7 linked regions of the Canis lupus familiaris genome follow. Each later gene encodes a partner of the first gene's protein in a complex. Links are inferred from orthologs where the notes say so. Each region holds a gene or a part of one and is shown on either strand. Other genes may lie near its edges.

The links.
Region 2: CEP290 (region 1) and B9D1 share a complex: the UniProt entries of both Homo sapiens proteins name them as parts of the tectonic-like complex. The link is inferred for Canis lupus familiaris from reciprocal best matches to the Homo sapiens genes CEP290 and B9D1.
Region 3: CEP290 (region 1) and TMEM237 share a complex: the UniProt entries of both Homo sapiens proteins name them as parts of the tectonic-like complex. The link is inferred for Canis lupus familiaris from reciprocal best matches to the Homo sapiens genes CEP290 and TMEM237.
Region 4: CEP290 (region 1) and TMEM231 share a complex: the UniProt entries of both Homo sapiens proteins name them as parts of the tectonic-like complex. The link is inferred for Canis lupus familiaris from reciprocal best matches to the Homo sapiens genes CEP290 and TMEM231.
Region 5: CEP290 (region 1) and TCTN1 share a complex: the UniProt entries of both Homo sapiens proteins name them as parts of the tectonic-like complex. The link is inferred for Canis lupus familiaris from reciprocal best matches to the Homo sapiens genes CEP290 and TCTN1.
Region 6: CEP290 (region 1) and TMEM67 share a complex: the UniProt entries of both Homo sapiens proteins name them as parts of the tectonic-like complex. The link is inferred for Canis lupus familiaris from reciprocal best matches to the Homo sapiens genes CEP290 and TMEM67.
Region 7: CEP290 (region 1) and AHI1 share a complex: the UniProt entries of both Homo sapiens proteins name them as parts of the tectonic-like complex. The link is inferred for Canis lupus familiaris from reciprocal best matches to the Homo sapiens genes CEP290 and AHI1.

Annotation. Positions count from the first base shown.
Region 1 is NC_049236.1:29,573,394-29,576,893, forward strand, and holds part of CEP290 (centrosomal protein of 290 kDa), read right to left. Parts: intron 1,313-3,500; coding exon 1,169-1,312; intron 1,050-1,168; exon of another isoform or gene 985-1,049; intron 1-984. UniProt on the Homo sapiens protein: Involved in early and late steps in cilia formation. Its association with CCP110 is required for inhibition of primary cilia formation by CCP110.
Region 2 is NC_049226.1:41,067,449-41,071,723, forward strand, and holds the start of B9D1 (B9 domain-containing protein 1), read left to right. Parts: upstream 1-1,475; 5' UTR 1,476-1,607; coding exon 1,608-1,670; intron 1,671-3,341; coding exon 3,342-3,410; intron 3,411-4,275. UniProt on the Homo sapiens protein: Component of the tectonic-like complex, a complex localized at the transition zone of primary cilia and acting as a barrier that prevents diffusion of transmembrane proteins between the cilia and plasma membranes.
Region 3 is NC_049258.1:10,565,182-10,569,183, forward strand, and holds the start of TMEM237 (transmembrane protein 237), read right to left. Parts: upstream 2,801-4,002; 5' UTR 2,668-2,800; coding exon 2,629-2,667; intron 1,859-2,628; exon of another isoform or gene 1,777-1,858; coding exon of another isoform or gene 1,759-1,776; intron 160-1,758; coding exon 128-159; intron 1-127. UniProt on the Homo sapiens protein: Component of the transition zone in primary cilia. Required for ciliogenesis.
Region 4 is NC_049226.1:75,839,675-75,843,377, reverse strand, and holds the end of TMEM231 (transmembrane protein 231), read right to left. Parts: intron 2,831-3,703; coding exon 2,725-2,830; intron 2,367-2,724; coding exon 2,186-2,366; 3' UTR 501-2,185; downstream 1-500. UniProt on the Homo sapiens protein: Transmembrane component of the tectonic-like complex, a complex localized at the transition zone of primary cilia and acting as a barrier that prevents diffusion of transmembrane proteins between the cilia and plasma membranes.
Region 5 is NC_049247.1:8,665,633-8,669,132, forward strand, and holds part of TCTN1 (tectonic-1), read left to right. Parts: intron 1-1,139; coding exon 1,140-1,265; intron 1,266-1,732; coding exon 1,733-1,876; 3' UTR 1,877-1,877; intron 1,878-2,691; exon of another isoform or gene 2,692-3,088; coding exon of another isoform or gene 3,089-3,154; intron 3,155-3,500. UniProt on the Homo sapiens protein: Component of the tectonic-like complex, a complex localized at the transition zone of primary cilia and acting as a barrier that prevents diffusion of transmembrane proteins between the cilia and plasma membranes.
Region 6 is NC_049250.1:39,308,564-39,312,499, forward strand, and holds the start of TMEM67 (meckelin), read left to right. Parts: upstream 1-1,136; 5' UTR 1,137-1,139; coding exon 1,140-1,350; intron 1,351-3,120; coding exon 3,121-3,209; intron 3,210-3,936. UniProt on the Homo sapiens protein: Required for ciliary structure and function. Part of the tectonic-like complex which is required for tissue-specific ciliogenesis and may regulate ciliary membrane composition.
Region 7 is NC_049222.1:28,401,027-28,404,526, forward strand, and holds part of AHI1 (jouberin), read right to left. Parts: intron 3,165-3,500; coding exon 2,945-3,164; intron 2,022-2,944; coding exon 1,829-2,021; intron 1-1,828. UniProt on the Homo sapiens protein: Involved in vesicle trafficking and required for ciliogenesis, formation of primary non-motile cilium, and recruitment of RAB8A to the basal body of primary cilium.

The sequences.
Region 1 (3,500 bases):
AAACTCAATAAGGGCAAAGAAGAAATTGCCAATAACTCATATTCCATCTCAAAGAATCTAACAACTGGAATGGTACATAGGCCATATATTCAAGTTTTCTGTATTTGTTTCTATGAATAGATAGTAGTCTAAGAATGGACAAGATAGTTCTGATTAACAGGATATGGATATGAATGACAAAAAGTTGATTAATATGGGCTAGATGGAAGAACAGTTCGGAAAATGACAGATATCCCCCTAACAAGCAAATCTATTTCTGTATATCATAGATTGAGTCCTTAATGATTATTAAGAAATTCATAGGTCTGCTTTGTTTTATTAAGTCAACTAAACAGACAATCCTCTAAGAACTTATTCCTAACCTTTAGGTGGCATCAATCCATACATTTTTCAGCACAAAAATGGTATGGATAGATCACTTTTACATGAATCTTTTAATTATGTAAGAAAATAAATATATCAAGAATAGGGAAGTTTTTCTTTACAAATCAATTTGTAACACCTTATAACCTTATAAAATAGCGACAACACTTTATAACCATTGTTGTTTACTTAAAATTTATTGCCTTCTACTTCTAAGAGAACAATGGACAAATATTATTAGGATGTAATGAAATATTGACCTAAAAGGACACAAAGGTGAAAGTTTCTGGGAATCAGGGATGGAATGTTACTATGCTTAGGCAGCAGATTCTATAAAAGTTTACTAACAGGTGAGGCAAAATAGGAAATTTGTTTTCTGACAGGATTTTCTAAATACACCTGCAAAAAATTTTTTCCTTAAACTAAATTTAAGAGAACACTGGATGAATTATTTTCTAAATAACAATATAATAATCCAAAAGGTAATAACTATATTTGTCTAAAAGACAAAATGTTGTGATTTAAAATACACATGGATTTAAAAATGCTGGCTTTAACAAACTTTTTAAGAACCTATATTTTTTTTACATATAGGTATTTATTGCACAATATGAAGTACTCCTAAAACCATGGAATTTGATTCAAAGATATAATGAAAACATGAACAGTAATACAAAACTTTAGAGGTAAGCATACATCTATTCTCACATAAAACACAGAAATTGATAGTTGCCATTATAAAAACATAATCAGGTGTTTTTAGGTAACTTAAACAGTTAAAATTCATTGAGGAAATATGCCTTACTTGCTCATTAACCTTCTTCTCTTTCTCCAACTCCTTTTCCATGTCCTCCAATTCTCTATCTTTTTGTTCCAATTGTTTTTCAAGTTGGCGAATTTCATCACGTAAAAACCGAGTGTCTCTTCCACCTGCAGACTGCTGTGCCAACTTAAATAAACCAAAAGTAGAAATCAATCCCATTAGAAGACTCAACAACAAATTGACTTTAAATTTGTTATATATAATCAGCACCAGATGTTTAAAATCATGTAAAATCCACCCAGACACTGACCTCTGCTGCTCTTAAACTACCCTTTCCCTTGTACCCTATTTAAACCAGGGCTGTCCAACAGGACTTTCTAGGATAATGGAAATGTTCTCTGAATGGTTGAGTAGCAGAGCCACTATCTACAAGTGGCTTTGTGAACTTCAAATGTGGCCACTGCAACTACGGAAATGAATTTCTAATTTCTATTGTAATGAATTTAAGTGTAAATAGCCACAAGTGATTAGTGCTACTGTACTGGATGGCTCAGACCAAGATCACCTTTAAAATCTTGGGCCAGATTAGGGCACCTGGCTGGTTCAGTAAGTAGAGCATTCAACTCTTGATCTCAGGGTCATGAGTTTGAGGCCCACGTTAGGGGGATAGAGTTTACTTAAAAAAAAAAAAAAAAAAAAAAACTCTTGTGGCAGATTAAATCCATTTCACTTCATATTCCTGTTATTTTCGGTCACAGTCCAAAACATATCCTTTGGCATCTACCTGTCTCACATTCATCTCTTTACCATACAGCTGTGTTATTCTTATATATTAAATAGCTTTTTCGGGATCCCTGGGTGGCACAGCGGTTTGGCGCCCACCTTTGGCCCAGGGCGCGATCCTGGAGACCTGGGATCGAATCCCAAGTCGGGCTCCCGGTGCATGGAGCCTGCTTCTCCCTCTGCCTGTGTCTCTGCCTCTCTCACTCTCTCTCTCTGTGTGACTATCATAAATAAATAAAAAAAAATTAAAAAAAATAAAAATAAAAAAAATAAATAGCTTTTTCTTACTCTTTTCCTCCTTCAGAACACTTTCTATTGTGCTCTCAAAAATCTTCTTTCAAGATACATTAATAAAATATTAATACATAAATACACTCTTGGCCCTTTTACTGAATCATGTTCTCCATCTCCCCTCCTTAGCTGCAATTTGGTTCCTTTAGTATACTAAATACTTTGGAACTCTTTGGAAGATGCTCATTCTTTCACATCCCATAGACCTCAGGGTCAAGAGAAGGTGTTGATTTACCTCAACTTGCAACTTTCAGGCTATCATTCTTCCACCATCTTATGAAAACTCTGGCTGCTATGAATTCCACATGATAACCAGCTATTCAATCCCTACCTATTCATGGTAGCAGCAAACTACTAACTTCCCAGTTGAGCCCCCTCAAAATTCGTTGGCAATTTTTGGCACATGGCTCATAGTGTTCCACCAAAAGACCCCATAAGCAGTTTTCATACCCATATAACTTTCATTCTAGTCTCTCTCTCTTCTTTTTTTTTCACATGCTTCTTGAATTCACTATAGCCTCCCACTCTCTTGCCCACACCAGAACCTTGTCCAGTGCAAACATTGTCTCATGATTCCTAGTATACCCACCCTCTGACTTCACAGGAGCCTCTAATTCCTTGACCCCTTTCTAACCTCTCATTCAAATCTTGATTTACCCATTCAGCTGAGATTTCATAATCATTATTTTAATCAACCACTTTCTTACCAATATCTCCCACTGTCCTATCCTTCCATTCTACTGTAGCTGTCTAAACACTAACAGAATCAATCTGATTTCATAATTCATTTAGTAAGTATTTATTGAGAATGACTGATATTTTTCTAGAATATAGATATATTATAGGGAACAAAAATAACTCATCCCACTTCACAGTTAGTAAATAAAAGAATCAGGATTTGAACTCAAACTGTCTGACTCCAGATCCCCTAATCTCCAGCTCATTCTCCACTGAGTACTTGAAATATTCCACAAGTATTTCAAGCTTAATTTTCCTTAAAATTTGATCACACATCTTCCACTCTTATTTTTAGTAAATGGGCCTTCACTCCAACCTCTCAACTTCTAGGTACTAAACCTATAAACATAAAAGCTTCTGCACACATCCATTCTTCCCATTACAAAGGAAGGTCGGGATCCCAGAGTGGCTCAGCGGTTTAGTGCCTGCCTTTGGCCTGGGGGCGTGTTCCTGGAGTCCTGGGATGAGTCCCACTTCCGGCTCCCCACAGGGCACCTGCTTCTCCCTCTGCCTGTGTCTCTGCCTCTCTGTGTCTCCCATGAATAAATAAATAAAATCTTAA
Region 2 (4,275 bases), on another chromosome or scaffold:
GGCGCCCCTGACATAGCTGGGTTTTAAACCACTAGGAGCCCCTGGTTACTTGATAACCACAAGCATTCTGCTGAAAAGTGACTTTTGTATAATACTGAGCTTCAAAAGTGACAAGGAGTAAAGACAGGTAGAATTTGTGGGAGAAAGCATTTTAAGTGGAAAGAGGGTGTGAGGAGTGGGGGAAGGGAGTATGACCAAGTCCCTGGAGAGCAGACCTACACTCTGAGCTGTGTTGTTGCGGTGGGGACCCCACCCATCTGGCCTCCTCAGCCGCAGCATCTCCCATCAGACTACCCACAGCCCCCTCCCCTAATCAGTTATCCTTGCTCAGCATTCCGGAAGAGGTCAGTGGTCCAGGCTGGCCTTGACTCTTCCCTCCCTCTCCTGCACAGGTGTCTGAAGGGAGCCCCCCTGGTCTGCTTCCAAGCTAGCAGCTGGCTACGGTGGGACCACCCCCTGGGGTCCCTGCTGGGGGCATGGCCTCCTGGAAGTCTACACACCTGTGCATCCCTTCCTGGATCAGAGATAAGGTCTCTAATGCCACTTTGACAACCTGGCCTGGGACCAGACAGAGGAGGCAGTGAGGCTCTTTAGCCTGTTTAGTCCTGGATGTGAATGCTGATTCGGCGACTTACCTGCTGCTGTGACTGTGGCCCAGCCACCTCCCCTGGGAATCTGCTTCCTCTCTGAGTAGTGGCCATGTATTCAAGTATTCATTCATGCAGCACTGTTACCAGGGCTTCTATGTGCCAGGGAACTAGAACTCAAGATCCGCGTGGCCGCTGGGCTCATGGAACAGCGGGCTGCCTAGAGAGGGGAGTCAGGATAGTGATCAACGTGCAAATACAAACCACAGTGTGTGCTAAGACGAACCGGATCGATGTGTTAACCGAAGCTATGACCACTCGGGGCGGCCAGGGGGTTAACCGGGCAGTGCCGTGGGTTCTGGCTCAGTCTTCCTCCGACGGCTGGAAGACTGGGATGCCAGGTGCTGCTCCTCCGTGGGCCTCCGTTTCCCCCTTTCACACCGAGGAGCCGTAACTCGGTTGTTTGAGGCCCTCCCCAGTTTGTTTAATACACTTTTGGTGGGGGGCAGGGGCCTCAAAGCCCCAGGGGACCCGCCGCAGTCCCCAACCGGGGACTCCGCAGAACCCGGGCGGCCCAGCCCCGGCCCGACTCGCGGCCTTCGCGCGCGTCACCTCCACTCGCGGCGGCGATCCAGCTGCACCGCGCAGGCTCCCCTCCGCGCGTCCCCGCCGCCGTCCCCCCGGTAGCGCCACAGCGCCACCTCGCGGCGGAGGGCATCGGCCCCACTTGGCTTCCGGCCGGCGGGAGGCAGGGCGCGCCTCCGCCCTGCGGGTGTGACCCGAGCAGCGGCGCGGCTAGCTTCTACACCGCGGGCGGACCGTTCCAGCTCCGCCCCCCGCCCCGCCCCGCCCCCAACCGCCGGCTGCGCTTGCGCACTGCCGCACCCGTGCTTTCTTTCGCGAAGGTGCCTTCCCACGAAATGTGTCCCACGCGCCACGCCGTCGGTTTCCAGGGCAACCCGGCACCTCTTAGCAGCCCCGCGCGCCGCGGGGGTCGTTTCCTGCGCCCCCAGCCCTGCCATGGCGGCCGCGGGCCCCAGCGTCTTCCTACTCATGGTCAACGGGCAGGTGGAGAGCGCCCAGGTGAGCGGCCGGGGACCCCCGCCCGCCCTCCCCCCAGCCACCCGCGGGGGCCCGTCCCGCCACCTCCCGGGCTGCTGCGTGGCCCCGGAGAGGCGCGTCTGTCGGGTCAGGCGGGGGACGGGAACCAGCGTCTGAGAGACCAGGCCTGTGAGCCCTGGTTCTGCTCGTGTCCGCTCCGTGGAGTCCCGGGCAGGAGCCTAGCGGGTGTAAGGGGAGGAGCGGAGACTCGCCCGGGTTGCTGGGCCCCGGCCCCCCAGCGCTCTGCACTCTGAACCCTGAGGTCCTTGCATTTGGGTTAGGATGGAGGCGACCTGGTGAATGTGCGCCAACGACGGGGGTGGTGGAGAGGTCCGGGGAGGGTCTGTCGGGTCTGACCGACGCGGACGCTGCTCCCCATCGCCTACACTTGGGGAGACCCATTTGTCGTATTCACATGCATATAAGTGCACCACGAATTCGCCACGTGCCGGACTCGGTGCCCAGCACTGCGCATTCGGCCCTCACCACAACCCTGGGAAGTGGGTGTTACTAGCATCCCCATTCTACAGATGGGGACACTTGCCCAAAGGGAGTGGCAAAGCTGAAATTTGAACCCAGGTTGCCTGACACCAAAACTTTGGTTCGTTACCCTTCCAGGCTGTTGGAAGATGGTATTTATTGTATTGTGGGGATTAAGTGAGATGGTTTGGGCAGAGCTCTGCCAGGACCTCTTACTAGGTCTCTCTTGCCTCCCTGTTTCATCGGGATAATGCTCCCGTGTTCCCACCCTGTCCACCTGCCCCTGGCCTAGCGTCCAAGACTGCCTTCCCTTCTTCTGTTCTGTCCCATTAGGGGCCCTTGGCTGGGCTGGATCATGCCTCTCTGCTCTGTCAGCACCCATGCCACTCCCACTGTGCCTCCTGCTCAGTTCTGGGTTCCTCCCTCTCTCCAGGCCTTGAGCTCCAGCCCTGTGTATACTTCATGTCCTGATAGCATCCTTTCACTTCGGCAATGTTCCCTAGATCTCTTCTGTGCCCCCTTGTGCCAGGCTCTGGGGGACACAGAAAGGTCATTGCACTTGTTCCCTCTTCACAGTCAAACAGGGTTGACAGAAATAAAGGAGGTATCAAAGCTTTGGTGGAGGGAAGGACCAGGGCCTGACAGAGCTGGGGGTGGGGTGGACCTTAGAACGTTTTGAAGGATGAAAGGGAGTTTGCCAGATGGAGGAATGGGACGGGCAGGGCAGCCCCGGTGGCTCAGCGGTTTAGCGCTGCCTTCGGCCCAGGGCATGATCCTGGAGACCTGGGATTGAGTCCCACGTTGGGCTCCCTGCATGGAGCCTGCCTCTCCCTCTGCCTGTGTCTTTGCCTCTCTCTCTCTCTGTGTCTGTCATGAATAAATAAGTAAAATCTTAAAAAAAAAAAAAAAAAAGGAATGGGAAGGGCATGTCAGACAAGGTGGAGCCTGGGCAAAGGCTCAAGGGTGGTTGCAGCCTGGGACTGTCCCTTGGACTCCCACATCTCAGGCCCCAACCCTTCCACTGAACTCCGTGTCCCCATCCCCGGCTGTCTCTTAGACTCTACCCCAGGCACCCAGTGTCAGCATCCCTATTGGCTGCCCTTAGCTAGCCACCGCGGTGCCTCCCCCTCCACAATCCCTGTAAACAGAACCTGTGTGTGCTTCTTCCTACAGTTTCCTGAGTATGATGATCTCTACTGCAAGTACTGCTTTGTGTACGGCCAGGACTGGGCCCCCACGGCGGTAAGCTGGGCTCTTGGGCCTCCCTCCCTCACAGCCTCCATGCTTAATGGGGTTTCTGAAGGTGTCGATGTCCACCATACCCCTTCGTCTTCCAGTTCAGAAACTGTTGAGAGGTAGACACCGAGCTCAGGGGGTTCCAAACATGACTTTGTTCCTGGTAAAGCTGGAGCAGAGAAGGTGGAGCAGCCACCTTCAGGCTCCTGATCAAAGCTGCGGTCGCTCACACACCCTGTCCTGGGAACTTGCACTTGGCAGCAAAGAGGAACGTGTGGGCGGCACAGACCCCTGAGGGCCAGCCTGGAAGTATCTGGGCGGTAGGTCCTCTGTCCCTCTCCTAGCCCATGAGGAGGACTCTGGGAAGTCAAGAGGCCGAATAGAAGCTCTGCTTGCAAGACCGGCCTCAGAGCAATCTGTCTCCACAGACAGCCAGGCCAGAGTCCCAGTTTCGTGGGGCGAGGTAGACAATAAGTACTGATGTTCTAATATGTTCTAGGAAAAAGTGCCGGGGACAGAGTAAAGTCAGGAAGGGAGGAATGGAGGGTAGAGAGAAGCTGGAGTCTAGGTAAGGTGGCCAGGGAAGGCCTCCCTGAGATGGTAACTTTGGGTAAAGGGTGAAGGCAGGAAGGGAACAAGCCACACGGAGGTCCGTAGGGAGAACTGTGCAGGCAGAAAGGGCAGAGGTAAAAAACAACAACAACAACAACAACAAGAAAGGGCAGAGGTGCACAGGCCCTGAGGTGGGAACGTGCCTGGCGTGCCCAGCATGCCCAAGGCACAGGGAGGAGGCCTGTGTAGCCAGTGAAGAGCATGAGCAGGGATGAGAGTGGCTGGAGATGGAGCAGGGGGGTTGAGGATGGGACAGGCC
Region 3 (4,002 bases), on another chromosome or scaffold:
TTTTCCTAAAATTTTCAAGAGATCATCTCTGAATTATTATAATTTTGCAATGGAACTAGTTGACTTTTTCACTTTATTCATTTTGCATTTTTAAAACTCAATGATACAATCTCTAACTTATGTTTACCTTGGCACAGGTGGAAGGGCTCGTGGAGGACGCTATGGGGAGAAAAAGAAAATCGCTTGTAAGTAAAAGTCTCAGAACATCTTCATTTCATGTACTTCAAATCTTTTGATAACCTTGTTTATCAAATGCAACAGAGGAAGTACTCTTGAGAATCAGATGGGCAATTCTAAAATTGTTCTAACATTTCTAAATTTCATATAAAATTCCTTCCTTCCTATACTCCTTTCTATCCAGAGGCCAGGCTCTGTTCTAAGTACTACAGATGCACTAAAGAACAAAACAGAAATCCCTGCTTTTATGGAACTTCCATTCTAGTGGTTAAGTATTAGAAGATCACACACACACAAATGAGGGAGAATGTGGAGTGCTATTTTAGTTACAGAAAGTCTCTCAGACTTCCGAGCTGAGACCTGAACAAGAAAGAAGAAAAGAGATAAAGGGGAGCAAATACAAAGCCTTTTAGGAGAAACGGTTTCAGATAAAAGAAGCAAGCCGGGTAGGGCTGTAGCATAGTTATCAAGACAGGCAGGGGCCAGATTAATTAATTAGGCTCTTTTTAGACAAAAAGGGGGCAGTCCGGGTGGCTCAGGGGTTTAGCACCGCCTTCAGTCCAGGGCCTGATCCTGAAGGCCTGGGATCCAGTCCCACCTCGGGCCCCCTGCATGGAACCTACTTCTCCCTTTGCTTGTGTCTCTGCCTCTCTGTGTGTCTCATGAATAAATAAAATCTTAAAAAAAAAAAAGACAAAAAGGTGTCCAGGTTTTATTTTAATTCAGTGGGAAGCCAAGGGAGGTTTTAAACCACATAGCAACATACTTAAAAAAAAAATAAGATAAAATCACTCTGAATACAGTATGAGACTGCATTTTGGGGCAGAGAGAATTAAAAAAAAAAAAACCTTATAAAAATAAATTCATTTTTAAAAATTTTATTTATTTATTTGTGAGACACAGAGAGAGGCAGAGACACAGGCAGAGGGAGAAGCAGGCTCCACGCAGGGAGCCCGACGTGGGACTCGATCCCCGGTCTCCAGGGTCACGCCCTGGGCTGAAGGCGGCGCTAAACCGCTGAGCCACCCGGGCGTCCCTAAAAAATAAATTAAAAAAAAAACAAAAAACTTAACAAATGGTAAGAAAAGTTGTGTTTGCCATTCAGAGAGATTACAGTTGAGACGCATTCTGGAATCTTTCAAAATAAAATACTATCAGCAATGTCTCGAAATCAGTTTAATGTTGCAAGTGTCTCATGCTGCTTGCAGGGGACACTGATTCAAAAGGGTTTACATTTTTAGACACTTTTTCTTTTTCGTTGGTTCTACGACCGTCCCATTTAGCGATCCATGCGGTCAGCGTATTAATACAAATGCTACGAGATCAGGACACAGCAGGCTGTCTCAACACTATCCAGTGATGAACCTCACCACCGGGAAAGAGCAATAGTCCAGGAAAGAGCCACCGTCAGGCGGCTACGGATCGCGTCCTGCCCAAGGCTTCGGGTCACACGACGCTTGCACGTTTTCAAAACTCCCGCGAAAATGACGTGTCACCGCCGACCTTCCGGCTCCTCAAGAGTCGGAGGGCTCCACCGGACACAAAATCCCAGAGACTCAAACGGAACCGAGGCTGGCTTACCACCTGCTTCTTTCCCATGGCGTCCAACGCCGGGCTTCCCCGCGGCCGCGCGCCGGGAGCTCGCAGCCGGGAGCTCGCAGTCCGCTCCCGCCCCGCCCCCCGGCCGGCTCCCGCCCCGCCCCGCCCCGCCCCCCGGCCGGCTCGCTATTGTCCCCGGCTGGCTCCCGCCCGGGCCGCCGCGCGCAGGCGCCGTGCGTCATCGGCCTGCGCCGCCCGGGCCTGGCGGACACTCAGCCGGTTCCCTGCAGGACGCGGCGGGGGGGGGGGGCGGGGGCCGGTCGGGCCTTTGCAGTGCAGCCCTGCGGAAAGGGGGCCGTGGGCGTGGGGGGCTGACATGCCCGGGAAGAGAGACTCCAGCGGGCGTGGGGCAACAACCACGGTTCTGCTCATGGTTTCCGAGTGGTTGCAGGGATTTGTTCGAGGGCGGTGGGGAAAGACCATGATCAATGGTCTCCGCCAGGAAACTGCGGTCTCCTCCCTGGGTGGCTAGAGGCCCTCCGGGAGGAGTCCGCAGGAGAGGCCTAGCTGGCAGCCCCGGGGCACCCAGGGGCCCGGAAGGCTAAGCAGAGAGGCGTCGTCACAGCAACGTGGCCACTCAGGCCCGGGCATCGGCACGCCCGGGTCCTCGCCTGGCTCCCGGGGTTCGGCTCCCGGCCTCGGGACGAACTTGCATCGCCCGCTCCGGTCCAATCCTGTGAGCATCCGAGGGGCGGACGCGCGTGCACGGCGAGCGGGGCTCTCGGCGGCCCTCGGCGGCCCTCGGCGGCCCCAGCCCTAGGCGGCGGCCCCGCCCCAGGAGCCGCGGAGGCGATCGGGCTGCACCCCCCGCCTCCGCCACGCCCCGTGGCCGCAGCGCCCCTCACCGCTCACCGGGTGGGCCTCCGGCCGAAGCCCCGAGTCCGCCCTCATGGCGCTCCCCCTCGGGGCTCCCTCGGCGCAACCGCCGGCGGCCCGCGCCTGGCTCCCCGCGACCCGGCCTCCGGGGCCTGCGAGAGGGGGGCTCCCCAGGGTCTCGCTGGGCCGCAGCTCCTGGGCCGGACCTCCGCCTGCCTGCGGGGCGCCAAGCCCCGCCCCGCAGCGCGTTCGCGTCAGGGGGGCGGGGCTGGACCCGGAGGGGGCGGGGCTGGACCCGGAGCGGGCGGGGCGCGGGGAACCCGGAGGGGCCCGAGGGCGGTGCGCGAGAAGGACCCCGCGGAGGTCAGAACAGGCTCTGGGTACCAGGAACCGACGATTGGCAAGGCCAAGGCTGCCCGGAGGAGCCGGGAACTTCTAGTCGCTGAACCAGGAGAGGTCTGGAAGGGCCAAAGACGGATTAAAACTCCTTTGAAAAGGAGGACTTTGGGGATTCCTGGGTGGCTCAGCGGTTTAGCGCCGCCTTCAGCCCAGGGCGTGATCCTGGGGATGCGGGATCGAGTCCCGCATCGGGCTCCCTGCGAGGAGCCTGCTTCTCCCTCTGCCTGTGTCTCTGCCTCTCTCTCTCTCTCTCTGTGTCTCTCATGAACAAATAAATAAAATATTTAAAAAAGGGGGGGGGGGACTTCTGTGGAACGCTGTCAGATTCTCCAGACACGGCTTCTTCCGACGGATCTCTGAACAAACTAGAGACCCCTGTACTGCAGGGACGTAGTAGGCACCCAGAGCGGACCCCTACCAGGCACTTACCGACTGGGTATTTGGTTCTTTAACTTCTTACTCTTGTATCTTGTTTATTGCGTGACTTTGGTTTCTTGTGTGGCGTATGGGAAGCCAAGTTAACTGTCATTCAGTTTGGAATCCTACACCCGTTAAAATTGTGTAAACCCCGCTTTGGGCATGAATAGAGGGGACGGGGTGCAGAGGCGCATCCCGTGCACCGCCCTTGTAGGGCGCAGAGATGCCCCGCCCCCACCCCCACCCCCACCCCCACCTCCGGGCCCAGACAAATATCAGATTTCTTCTAGTTGTGTGTGTGTGTCTGTCTGTCTGTGTAGTGATACAGGCAGTTCTCAAAATGTTTGCCACTTGCTTATCCTCCATCTCTGTACAGCAAGTTTGGGGAATTTTTTTTCTCAAAAAGAAAAAACACAACATAAGATCAAATCCAAGTTCATGTACCATTAAAAATGACTTAATTTTCTTTGGTGGGATTTTTTGGGGGGGGGGGAGGGAGGTTGGGTTTAATTTTTTTCTTTTTTGTTTTTTTGTTTTTTTGTTTTGAAGATAATCACTAAGTTAAAAAGAGCTACAAATACTTTGATGTACATA
Region 4 (3,703 bases), on another chromosome or scaffold:
ACCAAATTTTTAGATGATGGGACCTAAGCAGGGGCTCAGGAGCCTCACTTGAGTCACAGAAACTGGATAATCATTGTGCAAAATTAGAGATCTCCCCCATCCCAATCAACAAATATTAATTGTTTCAAACCTTGACTTAGCTCTGAGTTACAGCTCCTTTGGTAAAATCCTGTGTATTACTCACCTTTCTCCCTCTCGCAGGTACATTGTTTCATTCCGGTTCAGAAGCCACCAACATCTGATCTGTAAATAATTTGATATTCACCAGACACAGCTGTAATTTTCCAGCCTGTGTTTTCCACATGCTATGTGGATTCCACCAAAAACTCACAAGTACTTGGGGCCAGACCAGGGGACTTGCCAAAGAGCTAACAAAAGTTCCAAGGTCTTTGGGCAGAGACCTGGCAACATATAGCTGCCGGTGAGTAACGCGGAGAAGTGTGCGCAACCTCTGCCCTCCCCACCCCCTTTCCAAACTCTTGAAAAAGCCACAAGAAACCTTCCGTTTTGAGTATTTTAATTAGAAAGGTAGAAAAAATATCATGGTTCTTTATACAAATTTTGCATTAAAATAATTTAACAAAATGCAAAGCAGTGTTTATCATGTCTTTAGCTCTTTTCCATATCTCATTACCTTTTTGTGATTCAATCCAGAAACCCTTTTTTTCATTTCTACCTCAAGAAAAAAAAAATGCTTAGGTATATAAACAGCCCTAGATATTACAAGAAAAGGCAGAGGGGCCAGTGTTAAGCTATTTTTTGTGCTTGAATACTTCAAAACAGCTGTTTCCAAAACTTTTATTTTGGTCAGCCTGGAAGAAAAGGTGCTTTGGAAACAACTGAATCTCCAAGGTAAACTGCAGCATTCACCGAGGAGTATGTTAGCATGGATCAGAGCAGGCATGTCTCAGTGTCAATGATATCTCAGGATCATAAAGTAGATCCATTTATCCTTTGAGGACGGTTTGTTTCCTCAAGGCAAGAATGGAGAACTAGTCTTCACGCGCGACAGAGCCGCATTCAGTCGTCCCATCCTACAGACGCTCACTTAGGCAAGAGGGTGAACCTGCTGGACTACTTGACATTCTGCTAATGGCCAGGCCAGATTAAGTTGCCTGGGTGAGCATCCTCTTTATCCCCTTGCTGCACCTTGTGTGTCCGCCCCAAAGCCGCTCATTCTGATGGGCACCCTGTTCCTTCATCAAGGGAAATACAAGTGCTGGGTTTCCCGCTCGCTAGCCCTCCAAATAAACTCTGTGGTTGTTGGCAGTGGGAGCCAATACCAACAACAGCTCCTCTGTCACCCACGTCCTTTTCGAGAAAGGGGAGGGCTGTCAAGGAGGAGGAGTGGCAACTGTCCAGGCTGTTGGATGAGGGCCAGAGAAAGAAACTGCGGTTGCAATCCTTACTTCCCCCACTGTTGCCGAGGGGATTGTGAACGAAACAGCACTCTGGCTGAAGCCTGCTGTTCCAGGGGCACAGAAAGGGCGAAAGGCAGGGCAACAAGCCAGCCATGGCAGGGCAGGGATAAAGGGCCGCTCAGCTGAGCTAATAATGATAAGACGACTGTCTGTTAGCCGGAGGGCAGGTGGATGGTCCTAGTGTCCTGGAGTCACCCACCCATACACGTGTTCGTGTATGTGCTCTCGGGCGCTTCCATTCTCCCCTTCATGGCCTCTCGGTGCTGGAAACCAAAGTTTTGAGTGGGAAATTTTGATGCTCAGTAGTGGAAAGTGCTACTTACTGATTTGCACATCTCTCACAAGAGAGACCTGAAAAGAGTAAAAAGTGGTTTACAATAGTGGGAAGAAATGCATAGCATGTTTCTCAGTTCAAGAGAGGAAAAGTCTTTGCTCGACTAGAGATGGGATTCTTTCCAAGAGTTCTAAAATGACTGTAGTTGTCTCCTGAAATTGAAGCCTAAGGCAAGGAAAAAAAAAAAAAGAAGCAAATTATAGCTTTCAGGAACCCTCAGATGTTTCTACAAACTAGTCCCGGGTGAGGTGCTTACAAAATACGGAATTTGTATAGAGAAAAATGAGAAAGGATTGTGCTTTGTCTCTGATAGGAAAAGCATACACACTGGCACGTGTCCATGGGCTCTCTGCAAAAATTTCTTAAGATGGCAGTTCTCAGACAATAAGGAGGTAGCCAGGGTCCTGCTTAGTTCTCACAAGTGGTCTTCTTATGATAAGTGCTCCTTATATGTTTCTCCCTGGGGCATTACTGCGACAGGGATTGTGGTCACCACCTGATTCTGAAACACAAATCTTTTGATTCTTTCAAACACCCAGAGGAAGATAAGCAGGATACTGACATACTGGATCCAGGCAAACTTGATCATTTCCCAGAATCCTGGTAGATATGTACAGAGAGTTAAGGAGTCCCAGATGATATTTTCTAAGTGGAAGTTAAACCAAAGGTTTAGTTTAGACGGGAAATGGCAAAAATGTTTCAAATACCCTTAATATAAAAGGGATGATAAAAGAGGATTAAGATATAAATATGGATGATTTTGACCTGAAGAATTGCCCAGAGAGAAATATGAAGAGGAAATGAGTATTATTCCCCCTGTATGAACAGCAGATGGAGTCATTTGAGCGGGGCCACGATACCTTAGCAGTTTCCAATCAAAGGCTTCCCACATCTGTTGCTTTTGGGGATGACGGAGGAACCCTCCTTTTTGGAAACTGAGCTACTGTGGCTCTTTAACTGAAAGGATATGAAATTACTTCTACTGGGTATCGGATGACAGCATTAATGACAAATGGAGCTTCAGCAGCCCTTCCCACCAGCCAGATGGGGTGGGGGTCCAGCAGGATGGTGGTTACTGTAATATAAGCAGAAGTTAATCCATGAATGCTCTCTCAATAAAATAATCAGGGCTATAAAAGTACTTTTTTACCTCTCAGGCAAATTCCGAACGTTAGAACTTATTCCAAAGAAATGATTCAAAAGGAAAGAGAACTGAATATGCAAAGTTGCTCACAAATTTGTTAAAATACTTGTCAAAATATTTATATTAAAAGGCCCCTGGGTGGCTCAGTCAGTTGAGCATCTGACCCTTAATCTCAGCTCAGGTCTTGATCACAGGGTCATGAGTTCAGGCCCTGTGTACTGGGCTCCATGCTGGGTGTAGAACCTACTTAAAATTTTTTTGTTAAAAACAGAATGGTGAGGGTGCCTGGTGGCTCAGTCAATTAAGCATCAAGCATCAACTCTTGGTTTCGGCTCGGGTCATGATCTTAGGGTCATGGGATCAAACCCTGCATGGACTCTGTGCTCAGCCGGGAGTCCGCTTGAGGATTTCTGTTCCTCTCCCTCTGCCCCTCCACCCACACTCTCTCTCCCTCAAATAGATAAATCTTAAAACAAACAAACAAACTTGGAACCGTCTATATATTCTTCTACAATTGCTGAATGGCTAAGTAAAGGAATCCTATACTACCACTAAAAATAATACCAATTAAAACTTTGTAGCAGCGTGGGGAAATATTTATATTACGAAGTACAAAAAAAATTGGATCCTAAAATGTTTCTAAACTACGACAAGAGCTGTATAAAAATATCTGCTATGGGGCAGCCCTGGTGGCGCAGCGGTTTAGCGCCTGCCTTTGGCCCAGGGTGCGATCCTGGAGACCCTGGATCGAGTCCCGTGTCAGGCTCTCTGCATGGAGCCTGCTTCTCCCTCTGCCTGTGTCTC
Region 5 (3,500 bases), on another chromosome or scaffold:
GCCACATCGTTTCTGGCTTCTCAGAAACAGGTTAAGACATTGTTACTAGCCCCTAAGAAGGGAAAACCGCCTGGGAGGCAGTGCAGACATTAGCATTTTCAGGGTCTGTGCTGCTGCAGGGAGCTCAGAGGGCCCAGAGAGGGTTTGGTACCTACCTTGCAGGAAACTCAGGTGGCAGCAGACACAAGTGCACGTGCTAGGCTCGCTTCTACCACTGCGTGTTGCCTCTTCTAATAACAGATACTCACAAGGCTTTTTCAGCCTGCAAACTTCCTAAAAGGCAGTTCCCAGCTAAGGAGTTCCACCAGTGCCTTTTTGGCAGGCACCAAATTTAGCAGGCTTGCTAGCTTTTCATGCCCCGAAGAAGCATATTAAACAAACAAACAAACAAACTTGTTATTGTCAGAAAATTTCAAACATAACACAAAAGTAAAGGATTACAATGGAATCCCTTCTACCCATCATGCAGCTTCAGTGGTTGTCACATTTGCCAACAAACATGATGTAAAGGCAGGGAAAGGGTTAGAAGGCCCACTCGCCTGCTCTTCCATGGGGCAGAGACCTCAGGCTGGCTCCCAGGTCTCCAGCCTGCAGGCAGGCAGCACCCATGGAGAGTTAGCATCTTTGACAATTTACCCTCGGCTGATACCCCTGTGTAACATCTTAATTGCCAACTGATGAAATTAAATGAAAAGAAAATATTTACATTTCCTCTAGGTGCATCTTAACGTGATACACAATTAGGTTTAATTTCTATGACTACCACCATCCTCTCCTCCCCACTCAATGCCAGCTTCTCCCCTCAAGAATCTCTGAGTTGGATGAAGCTGGGCAGTTAAGGCCCAAGGTTCTGCGGTTTGTTGTTGGGATCTCCACAACTTCCAAGTAATCTTGACCTTTCTAGAAACAGGAGAGGATGGAAAAATGCTTTAAGTGTTAAAATATTTTTGGGAATATTGAGTACTTTAAAATATGTGCTCTCAGCTGTTTTTATCTGAACTTCTAGAGTCTCTTCACTCTCTTGTTCAGAACATTTTGTAATATGTGAAACACTTTATAATTAAAGCTCTGAAGTGCAGATTAAGTTTGACATGAAATTGTGTAATGTTCAAATTGATTAATGACATTCTGTTTTGCAGGATTCTTGCCAGCTCCCAGTGGCTTTGTTTATAGAAGTGAAGTGGACCAAATACGGGTCCTTACTGAACCCACAGGCTAAAATTGTAAACGTAACTGCAAGTCTCATTTCATCCCCCTTTCCTGAGGTAGGTCTAACTGGGGTTTCGAGGTGTGGGTTAAGACAGAAGTCCAGACAAAACTCAAGCGTGATAGTGAAATTTATTTTGTGAAAAAGATTACTGAAATTTATTTTTTTTTATTTTTTATTTTTTTAGATTACTGAAATTTAAACAATCTGAATTCTTAAAATAATCTGGCACTTTCTTAGGGAAAAAAAAATTCCACTGACAACAGTTGAATTCACAGTAGCATTTTTGTTTGGAGCTGATCTTTAAAATTCTTTGAAAATGGAGTTGTGGTTGACATTGGTGGGTAGGACAGCCTGGGTAAAAACCCTCTCATCCAAGTGAGCGTATGAGGAGCCCTGCATGCGCCTAGGAGATGGGCTGACCGTGGCCCCAGGAGGGAAGGGAGCACAGGGTATGCCACCTTGTGACCCTGTGCACATGAGCACACACTGGAAGCAGGACTCACAACACTCTCTTTATTACAGACCGACTCAGGAAATGAGAGGACGGTTCTTATTTCCACTGCGGTTACTTTTGTGGATGCGTCTGCACCTGCGAAGGCAGGCTTCAGAGCTCGGCCAACCATCAATGCCAGGCTGCCGTTTAATTTCTTCTTTCCGTTTGTTTGACGTAAGTTGTTAATCAAGGAGACAGCACCGCACCTCCAGAATCGAGGGGCCTCGGCTCCCTTGGAGCCATCCTGAGATTCTACCACAGATCTGCAGGGTTGCCCTCAGACCACACACTTCCCCTCTCCATTCACTCTCCTCCTTTTGGAAATTTTATTCTACTTGGTTGACCTTAGAATGTGGCGCCACCTGGTCTTGGTGATTTCCAGTACTGTTAGCACATAGGTCATGTGCGGAAACCAAATTGAGCCTTTGGGAGGATGGGGAAGAGGACAGACCCTGAAGTAGCATAGGTGTTGAGGCTTTATCCAGTTTATCCGCCTCAACATGAGTTATTTTTAAACTACTTGTTGTAGTTCATGTCCCGTGGAGATAAATACAAAAATAGCAAAATACTGCATATAAACTCATGTGAGTAGAGTACACGGTCTCGTGAAAGGATCTCCCCCCAGTGTCGTCTTCATTACATGGAGTCTTGGGTCTAATTGCTGTTTCTGTGGCAGGCACTGGAGCTCTCCATCTGATGGGCTGTATGGGATGCCACAGAGCAGTTCCAAGCCTTTGATGCTGGAAAGAATAGAGTAGGAGGGCTCGAGGGAAAAAGTTTCTTTTATACGTTAATTGTACAGTAATTGAGAAAATGTTGTCAGGTGGCAGAACAGGGTAGAGCCAGTTAGAAAGCTGGTTGCTGCAGAGAGGGGGCTGGGTACCTGTGAACAACCTCCTGGGGGAATGTTAAAACAGTTTGAAAAGATAAGACTTTTCTAGAATGGGCTGGTAGCCAAGGTAGCTTCCTTTTTTCTTTTGTCTTTCAGAATGCTCACATGAAAAGATGCACTGGTTCCTCATACATGGGAAATGGGAAAGTACATTTGATGAGATTAAATTTTATATACAACTAAAAGTTGTCCAGCTTCGTTGTTCATTTTCAAGCAAGAGTCAGGTGTTCAAAATGAGAAAATATAGTTTGTAATACATTGTGATATGGGGTGAGAATGGGACGGGAAGCTCTTGATCACACCAAGAAAGAGTGAGCCTTCCCTTAGACTCCCCCCACCCCAACCCCCCAGAATCTGAGCTGGGTCGGGGGTGAGGCAAAGGCATCAAACCAGATCTCTCTCCCAGACGGTCCCCAGGAGGGGCAGCTGTCTTTCTTATCAGAGGTGCAAGCCTGTGAGGCAGTCTTGTCTTTGGGACGAAGCAGGTACATGTCTAGTTGACTTCACCAAGAAGTCCATGCTGTCTCAATAGCTTGTTCAGTCTTTCAATTTCTTGTTCCTGTTATTAACAAAGGCAGACAGATAACTCAGTTTTACCTTCTGAACCTTGCCAGGGATGTGGCAATTATTTGATGGGCCCCAAGGATGCAAAGCTGAATGGAGGCTACATTCCTGGTGGAGTCTGCCAGTGGAGCCTGCTACGGTCAGCTGGGGCCCAGTGGGTGACTGCAGTGACAGGATGTCCAGAGGAGGGACACCTGGCATAGCTCTGGGGAAGGAGGTGATGCCTAATCTGAATCTGAAAGGACAAGGAAGACTGAGCGAAGGGTGATATCTGAGCAAAGGCCTGGCGGAGTGAAGCTCTGTGCTGAAGGCAAACAGATGGCATTTTCCCAAAAATGTCT
Region 6 (3,936 bases), on another chromosome or scaffold:
GCATTTTCCACATGCATTAAGAATTGTGTGTATGTGTATTTTCTTTAATAGTGTCAGATCCTCATTTTTATTACAAAATAAAAAAGAGTTTTTTGAGAAAGCCCAAAGTTGTTCCAAGCTGCGACTGATGAATAAGATGGCTAAAAATTATGCCGGATGATTGTACTGGGAGAGCGGGGGGATGTGAGAACAAGATAAAACAAACACAGTCCAACAAAAACGGAAGTGAGATTTAGATATAAGAAAAAAAATGCAATTTTCTATGATCTGTAAACTGCCTCTAAAGCTAATTCTAAAATGTTTTGGTGAACATTTTATGGGCCTCCCGGGGTGCTTGCTTTTGAAAGGCAACATTCACGTGTGCGTACGTTTGGTTAAAAATTAGGTTTCTTCTTTATTCACGAACGGGGTAAAGATGATCTCATTTTATATACAGGATTTCCTTTATCCAAAACGAGGAAACTGGAAACACAATGAAACGTCTGCCCGGAAAAGACCTTTTTGAAATGCTCAAGCCAATCTTCCAGCATTGCCCATTTCAAATCAACGGGGGTGTTTTTTGTTTTGTTTTTCTACCCTTTTATTTCTATTTTTTGTTTTTCTACCTTTTAAAAATTATTTATTTTTAAAATTTTTGATTTTTAAAAAAAAATTTAAAAGTTTTTTTAAACTTAATTTTTATTTTTAAAATTTATTTGTTTTTTATTTAACTTTATTTTTATTTTTTTAACGGACACACTTCTCAGGACACATGCACTGCTGCAATGTCTCCTTTAACGCGAAATCGCCCGGTCTGAATAAATTCTGGTGTAAACGTCATTCAACAGCTCCACGAAAAAAATACTTCCTCTCAATCTGCGTGATACCATTAGAGACTGCCGCGGGGTCCCGTTCACCGACCCCCGGAACCGGTGTCGCGTCCCGGGAACAGGTGGCGGCCCAGGGCGGGCAACACGCCTCCCATCGCCCGCCCGGCCTCCGGGTCCAGCCCGCCTCCCGCGGCGGCGCGGTTCCCCTGGCAACGGGGCAGCGGCCGCAGGCACTTCCGGAAGCCCGACGGAGCTGTCCAATCAGCTCTGCAGACTCGCCGCGGGGGCCGATGGGGCGCCGGGGCGTGCGCAGACGCCGGCGTCCGCACCATGGCAACGGGCAGCGGAGGGGTCGGGGCGGCCATGGCGGCTCGCTGGGTCCTGAGCTTGTGCCTCCTGGCGGTCCTCCCTCGGGCCCCGCACGCCCAGACCTTCTCCTTTCCCTTCGTGCAGCCGGAGTCGTGCGGCCACAGCCAGCGCTTCGACATCTCCGCGCTGTCCTGTGTCCCGTGCGGGGCCAACCAGCGGCGGGATGCCCGAGGTGAGCCGGCCCGGCGGGGCCCAGGCGGGGCCCTGACGCCCCGGCCTCGGGGAGAAACGTCTGGGGGAAAGGGAACCGCCAGCGCGGGAGGGAGGGGTGTCCTCGGAGCACCGCAGCTTGTGCGGGGGCGGGGGGGTGGTGAGCCCAGGCCTCGGGCGCGGATCCCCTGCTTCCCGGCGGACGGGTCTGCAGGCGCCCTGCAGGGCGAGAGGGACGGCGGGGGGCGGGGAGGGGGCGGGGCGGGGGAGGGAGGGGCGCGGGAGGTTACGTGTCTGCAAACGGGACTCCAAGTAAAACATATACAATAATAATTAATAATAAAATCTGTTATTGCTTTTATTTTGCTTTTTAAAGATTTTACTCAGTTATTCATGAGAGACACACAGAGAGAGAGGCAGAGACCCAGGCCGAGGGAGAAGCAGGCTCCACGCAGGGGGCCCGATGCGGGACTCGAACCCGGGACCACGGGGTCATGACCTGAGCCCGAGGCAGATGCTCAACACCCAGGCGGCCCTTTGCTAGCGCTTTGATCTTGCATTTCAAAGGCCACAAACCTAGAGCTAGAAGGACCCTAACCAGGATGAGGTCCAGTCTTCTCCTTTTACAGGCGAGGAAATTGAAGCCCAGCCGGTGTTGTAATGACCCTGTCTGTCGCCCACACCGCAGCTCGGGAGGACCGGAGTCTCTCTGCCCTCAGCGTAATTTCCCCTACATCGTGTGTCCTTAACGTAGATTTCCTTAGGAGTCGTCCCTTTTGTTACTGAATATTACTGATTGCTCTTGAAGTCTCTTGAGAGTAAGCTTATTTCTTTTTCTTGAAACATGTGTCATTTGGTCCTAGTTCTCCCCCTAGAGAGGGGGAGAAGCTGCACAGAACAAGACTTTTCCCATATTACTAAGGAACAGAATTGGCATAGAGTAGAATAGACCGTATTCTGAGGTCCAGGATGTCTTCAATCTCGATTTGGTCACCCACGATGTCAACCCTCTGCCATCTCCAAATCTGATATATCCTCCTGTAAGTCATGATGTCAGGCTCCCCAGGTGAGGAAATACGAACGAGAAAGCGTTGCACAGGCTCCTAAAGTGTAGGGTGTTGGCTTCATACTTAGGAACCCAGATAGCGTATGCATCTGCTGCATAGATTTCGGTGGGTGCTGTTTCCACCTGATGTCTCCTTAGGGACTGTGGTCCTCACCCATCCAGCAGGTTGAACAGTGATCATCTTAGTCTACCATCTATCCAGAGGAAAACAATAATTTATTTGAATCAAGATAACTTAGTTCATAAAGTTTTGTTTTGGCAAAGTAACTTGGAAATCATCGAATATATGTATGTGGTCAGATGAAATAGAACCGTACAGTTTCCCATAACGGTTAACGAAAACTCTGATTATTAAAATTAAAGTCCAGTACTCCAGTAGTTCAGTGATGCTTGCACTTAAGTAGCAAGCACAATACCTACTGTGTGCCATACATAGTCTAAGACCTTTCCATATAATAACTCATTTACTACTCATACCAACCCTACGAGGTAAGTACTGTTATCGTCCCCATTTTGGTGAAATGGAAACCTAGGCACAGAGTTCAGTAACTTGCTCAAGGTCACACAGCTAAGTAGCAGAGTTAAGATTAGAGCCCACATAGTACGTTTCCAGATGTGCTCCTAACAGCTGCCCTGGTTTCCAGGATCTTGAGAATATTGAAAATTTCCCCATCTTGGAGTTTTATTTTTATTTACCAAGGTCAAAATTGGCTCTTTTCTTTTTAGGAACTTCATGTGTGTGTCTGCCGGGATTTCAGATGATCTCTAATAATGGAGGACCTGATATTATTTGTAAAAAGTGCCCAGAAAACATGGTATCAAGTATTTATTTTGAAATAATTTTACTGTAAAACGTAGTAGATTGAATGTCTTTATTTTAAAATTTGTATTTGTTTATTTTAGAGAGTGGGGGAATGTGCAGAGGGAGAGAGAATCCTTGAGCAGACTCCCTGCTGAGCACTGGGCCCAGTCCCAGGACCCTGAGGTCTTGACCTGAGCTGAAATCAAGAGCCAGTGGCTTAACTGACTGAGCCACCGAGGCGCCACTTGAATATCTTTATTTTTTAAACTATGTTTTAATGCTGTACTCTAATATGTTCTCAAATTCTAAAATTACTAAATTAACTTTGTTTTAACTAGAATAAATTTTAGGAGATCAGTGAAATTTTATACAAGCTTGGAATAAACAAATGTATTGCCTGAGTTTTTAAAATCTGAAATTTAAAAAGCCACAAAGCTGTGAAAATGTGTCTTTATGTTCTTTATATTTTCTCACAGAGTAGCTCTGTCTTAAAAAAATAGATAAATGATACAAAGAGCAAGTTGGGATATGTGTATTTTTAGACTAGTACAGATTGAGTTATGTGTCTTGGAACTACTGTGTCAATAGTTTTATAACAATATATGTTCATAATGATACATAAGGTGTGATCAGTTCATGAGTTGCCAATTGTATCATTAAATAGGTTAAATAGTATCTGTTGCTGCTCTGTTAGTCATATAACTTTTTGAAAATTAGTAAATTAGTACTATATATAATGA
Region 7 (3,500 bases), on another chromosome or scaffold:
TTCATGTAAATTTTCCCTTAGTAAAAATACTTAGAAGTGGAATAATGATTTTAAAGACTTCTTATAGATATCAAGTTGTCCTCAATAAATCCTTAAAAGCTGAAATCAAAAGTAGTTGTGTAGACAATAGATTATATTAAAACTTAAGAAGCAACTGCCACTCTGGAAAACAGTATTAGAAGTTCTAAAAATAGAACTATCCTATGACCCAGCAACTGCACTACTAGGTACTTATCTAAAGGCTACAAAAACAGATTCAAAGGGGCACATGCACCCCAATGTTTATAGCAGCACTATTAATAATAGCCAAATTATGGAAAGAGCCCAATGTCCACTGACTGATGAATGGATAAAGAAGATATGGTATGTGTGTATAAACACACACACACAAACAAGTACAATGGAATATTACTGAGCCATCAAAAAGAATGGAATCTTGCCATGTGCAACATGAATGAACTACAATGTATTATGCTAAGTGAAATAAGTCAGAGAAAGACAAATACCATATGATTTCAGTCACATGTGGAATTTAAGAAACAAAACAGATGAACATAGGGGAAGGGAAGAAAAGATAAAATAAAAACAGAGGGAGGCAAATCAGAAAAGACTCTTAACTACAGGAAACAAACTGTGGGTTGCTGGAGGGGAGGAGGGTGGACTAAGCAAGGCGATGGATGTTAAGCAGGGCAATTGTTGGGGGCGAGCACTGGGTATGTTATATATAAGTGATGAATCACTAAATTATATTCCTAAAACTAAAAAAACAAAACTCCACCCCCCCCCCAAAAAAAAACCTTAAGAAGCAACAAAAAAATGTCATATTCCAACAATCTTTCTTAAATTTATGAATATTACTAAAATGAATGTGAACATTATAACCAAATTTCTCTGACAAAGAAAAAGTTCCTTGACAAACAAGTTACATCACTCTTTAAAAAATCACAGCTCTGTATAAATCATACAACATAATCACAGATGTAATGGTGGAATATTCGTATCACAAACATATACAGATCATCTGAAAGTTAAAAGAGCATAAAAACAAGTCATTCCACAAAATCAATCCTTGGCGTTAGTCATGCCCCTGCCTTTCCAATGCTAAAATTCCTCATCTTGCTTAAACTGAGGTTTTCTTCACTTCTCTTTGCTTAGGGAGAGATGTCACAAAGTAGAGAAATGTGTATTTTAGATTCAAACCACCTACAAATTACCTACACTTAAAATTGGAGTAACTTTGGGTAAGTAAATTTTATATTCTGAACCTTGATTTCCTTTGTCATAAAAACATTAGAATAACAACTCGGCTCAAAGGCCATCTATTTCATAAAATTTTCCCTGATTGCTCTGACCCTCCATTCACCCTCCCCTATCTAGGAAGCTCTACTTCATTTTGGTTATATATTACATTATGTTAGTCAAATGATCTGTGTATGTTTACCTTTATTTCTCTCAGTTGTATATAAACTCTAAGGGGGTCTGATACATAAATGAGTTTACATTTTGTAAAATGGGTTAAAAATGGAGGGTTGTATAGCTATAGATTAGATTCATCACTTAAGTTTACAGTCATGGCATTACTATCAGAATTAAATAATACAGAGTGAATTACACGGCTAATTACTCACAATGGTAAATACTCAGCAAATATGCTATTACCTGTATTTCTCAATTATATCTCCATAGCATATTACAAACACTAAATCCTAGAGATTAAGTCCTTCACACTATTTTGTTGCATTATTAAACTACTAAAAACAATAGTTTACATTTATGCTATTAAACTATTAACCAAAATCTAGTTTTAATTGGTCTATTCTATTCATACCTCAAAAAACAAGATGACTTTAGGGCTCTCATCAAAATCTCGAAGCAAATAGGGAAAGTTTTCATTAAATATAATTTGTTCTTCCCACTCTGGAAGTCTTGATTTTAACTGTTTAAAATCATATGGCTGGGTCATAATAGGAAGAATGTAATCCACACTCTCTTTTTCATAGTAAGATGAAACAGGCCGTCCACTGTCCAAAAAAAGATACTTTCATTAACACATTTCTTTATGATAATTTTGAGATGAGAAAAAAAATATAGTGTTCAAGGTGAAGAAATAATGAATAGTCATGATATATAATGAAAAATTATTTTCGTTGTCCACTGAGAAAATTACAAATTTTAAGATGTAGAAGTGGTAGCATCCTACTATCTTGTATTTATTTACTACTGATTGGTTTCACAGAATTATCTTATTATAGAAATTTAAAGTGAGAGTGCAGCATACAGAGCTAGACTCCTTCATTATCGTAAATGAGTTTGTAATAGTACAGTACACATTGAAAGAAAACGAGCATAATAGAATTGCAAACGCTTTCAACTGTGCCATATTTTTTGTATGCCCTAAGATAACTGAACAACTTAATTTTGATAATCTTCATGTTCCTCATCCCTGTAATTTTTCCAAGCAAATGACTTTTTCAGATTCTAGTATAATCATTTATTTTACTCTGCTTCCTATTTATAAGCTTCAAGCATGTATCAGCTATAGAAATAATATTAGAAAAAATTAAAGATTCACTGTCTTCATCTGAGGCCCAAATAACATTAACTTCAAAAGAAAGATATAAAGCTAGACAATTAAAGCATGTACAGTGCAAACACACAGTGATTTACACTGCAAGTTCAATGCCATAAATTAGTCATTAAGTTTGGCAGAAGCTCTCTCGAACCCCCTCTACTTCAAATGAATCACTAAATTAACAGATGTTCTCTATCTCTCCTATAAAACATACTGATCAGTATCAATGGTTGATGAACACCTATAACCAGTAAATTATTCTCTAACACAAATCCTTAGCTTTATTTCCATTGACTTTCAAGGGCAGAAAAGAGGACTTCTACTGTAGACAGTTTCAATTTCAAGGGTTGGCTGTGCAATTAAAAAAATTACCTATCATCTTTCTTGACATACTGACCAGTATTCTCATCAATCACATGAATTTTTACCATCGGGTGAGAAATCATAAAATCAGACTTAAGTCGATCAGTACGATGAATGTAAACTCCCAGGACAAGATCATCATCAAGCAAACATTTGGGATAAACTGGACTATCTCGGCTTGTTACTTCATGAACACCATCACCATCAGTGTCTTCATTATTATCAGAAACTAAGTGCATGGAAGAAAAAGAACACTGTAATTAACTGTTGCCACAACAATAAATTCAACAGTATATACTGAATTTACACACAATCTAATCTTAAAATCCATGACTATTTATCTTTAACAAAGCAACTTCAAAGGAAAAGAAAGCAAAAGCCAGACATTAGCAGACTGCACTCTAAGAATAAAATATCATTTATTAATGCACTGAAATAGGGTGACGAATCTTTTTTTTCCCTAACAAGGACCAAGAATACAAAAAAAGAAGACAATGAGAACCAAAAAACAAAAAAGTGATTTTTATCTAAGGATTTCCTGTGGAATATGCATCACTCAATTAAC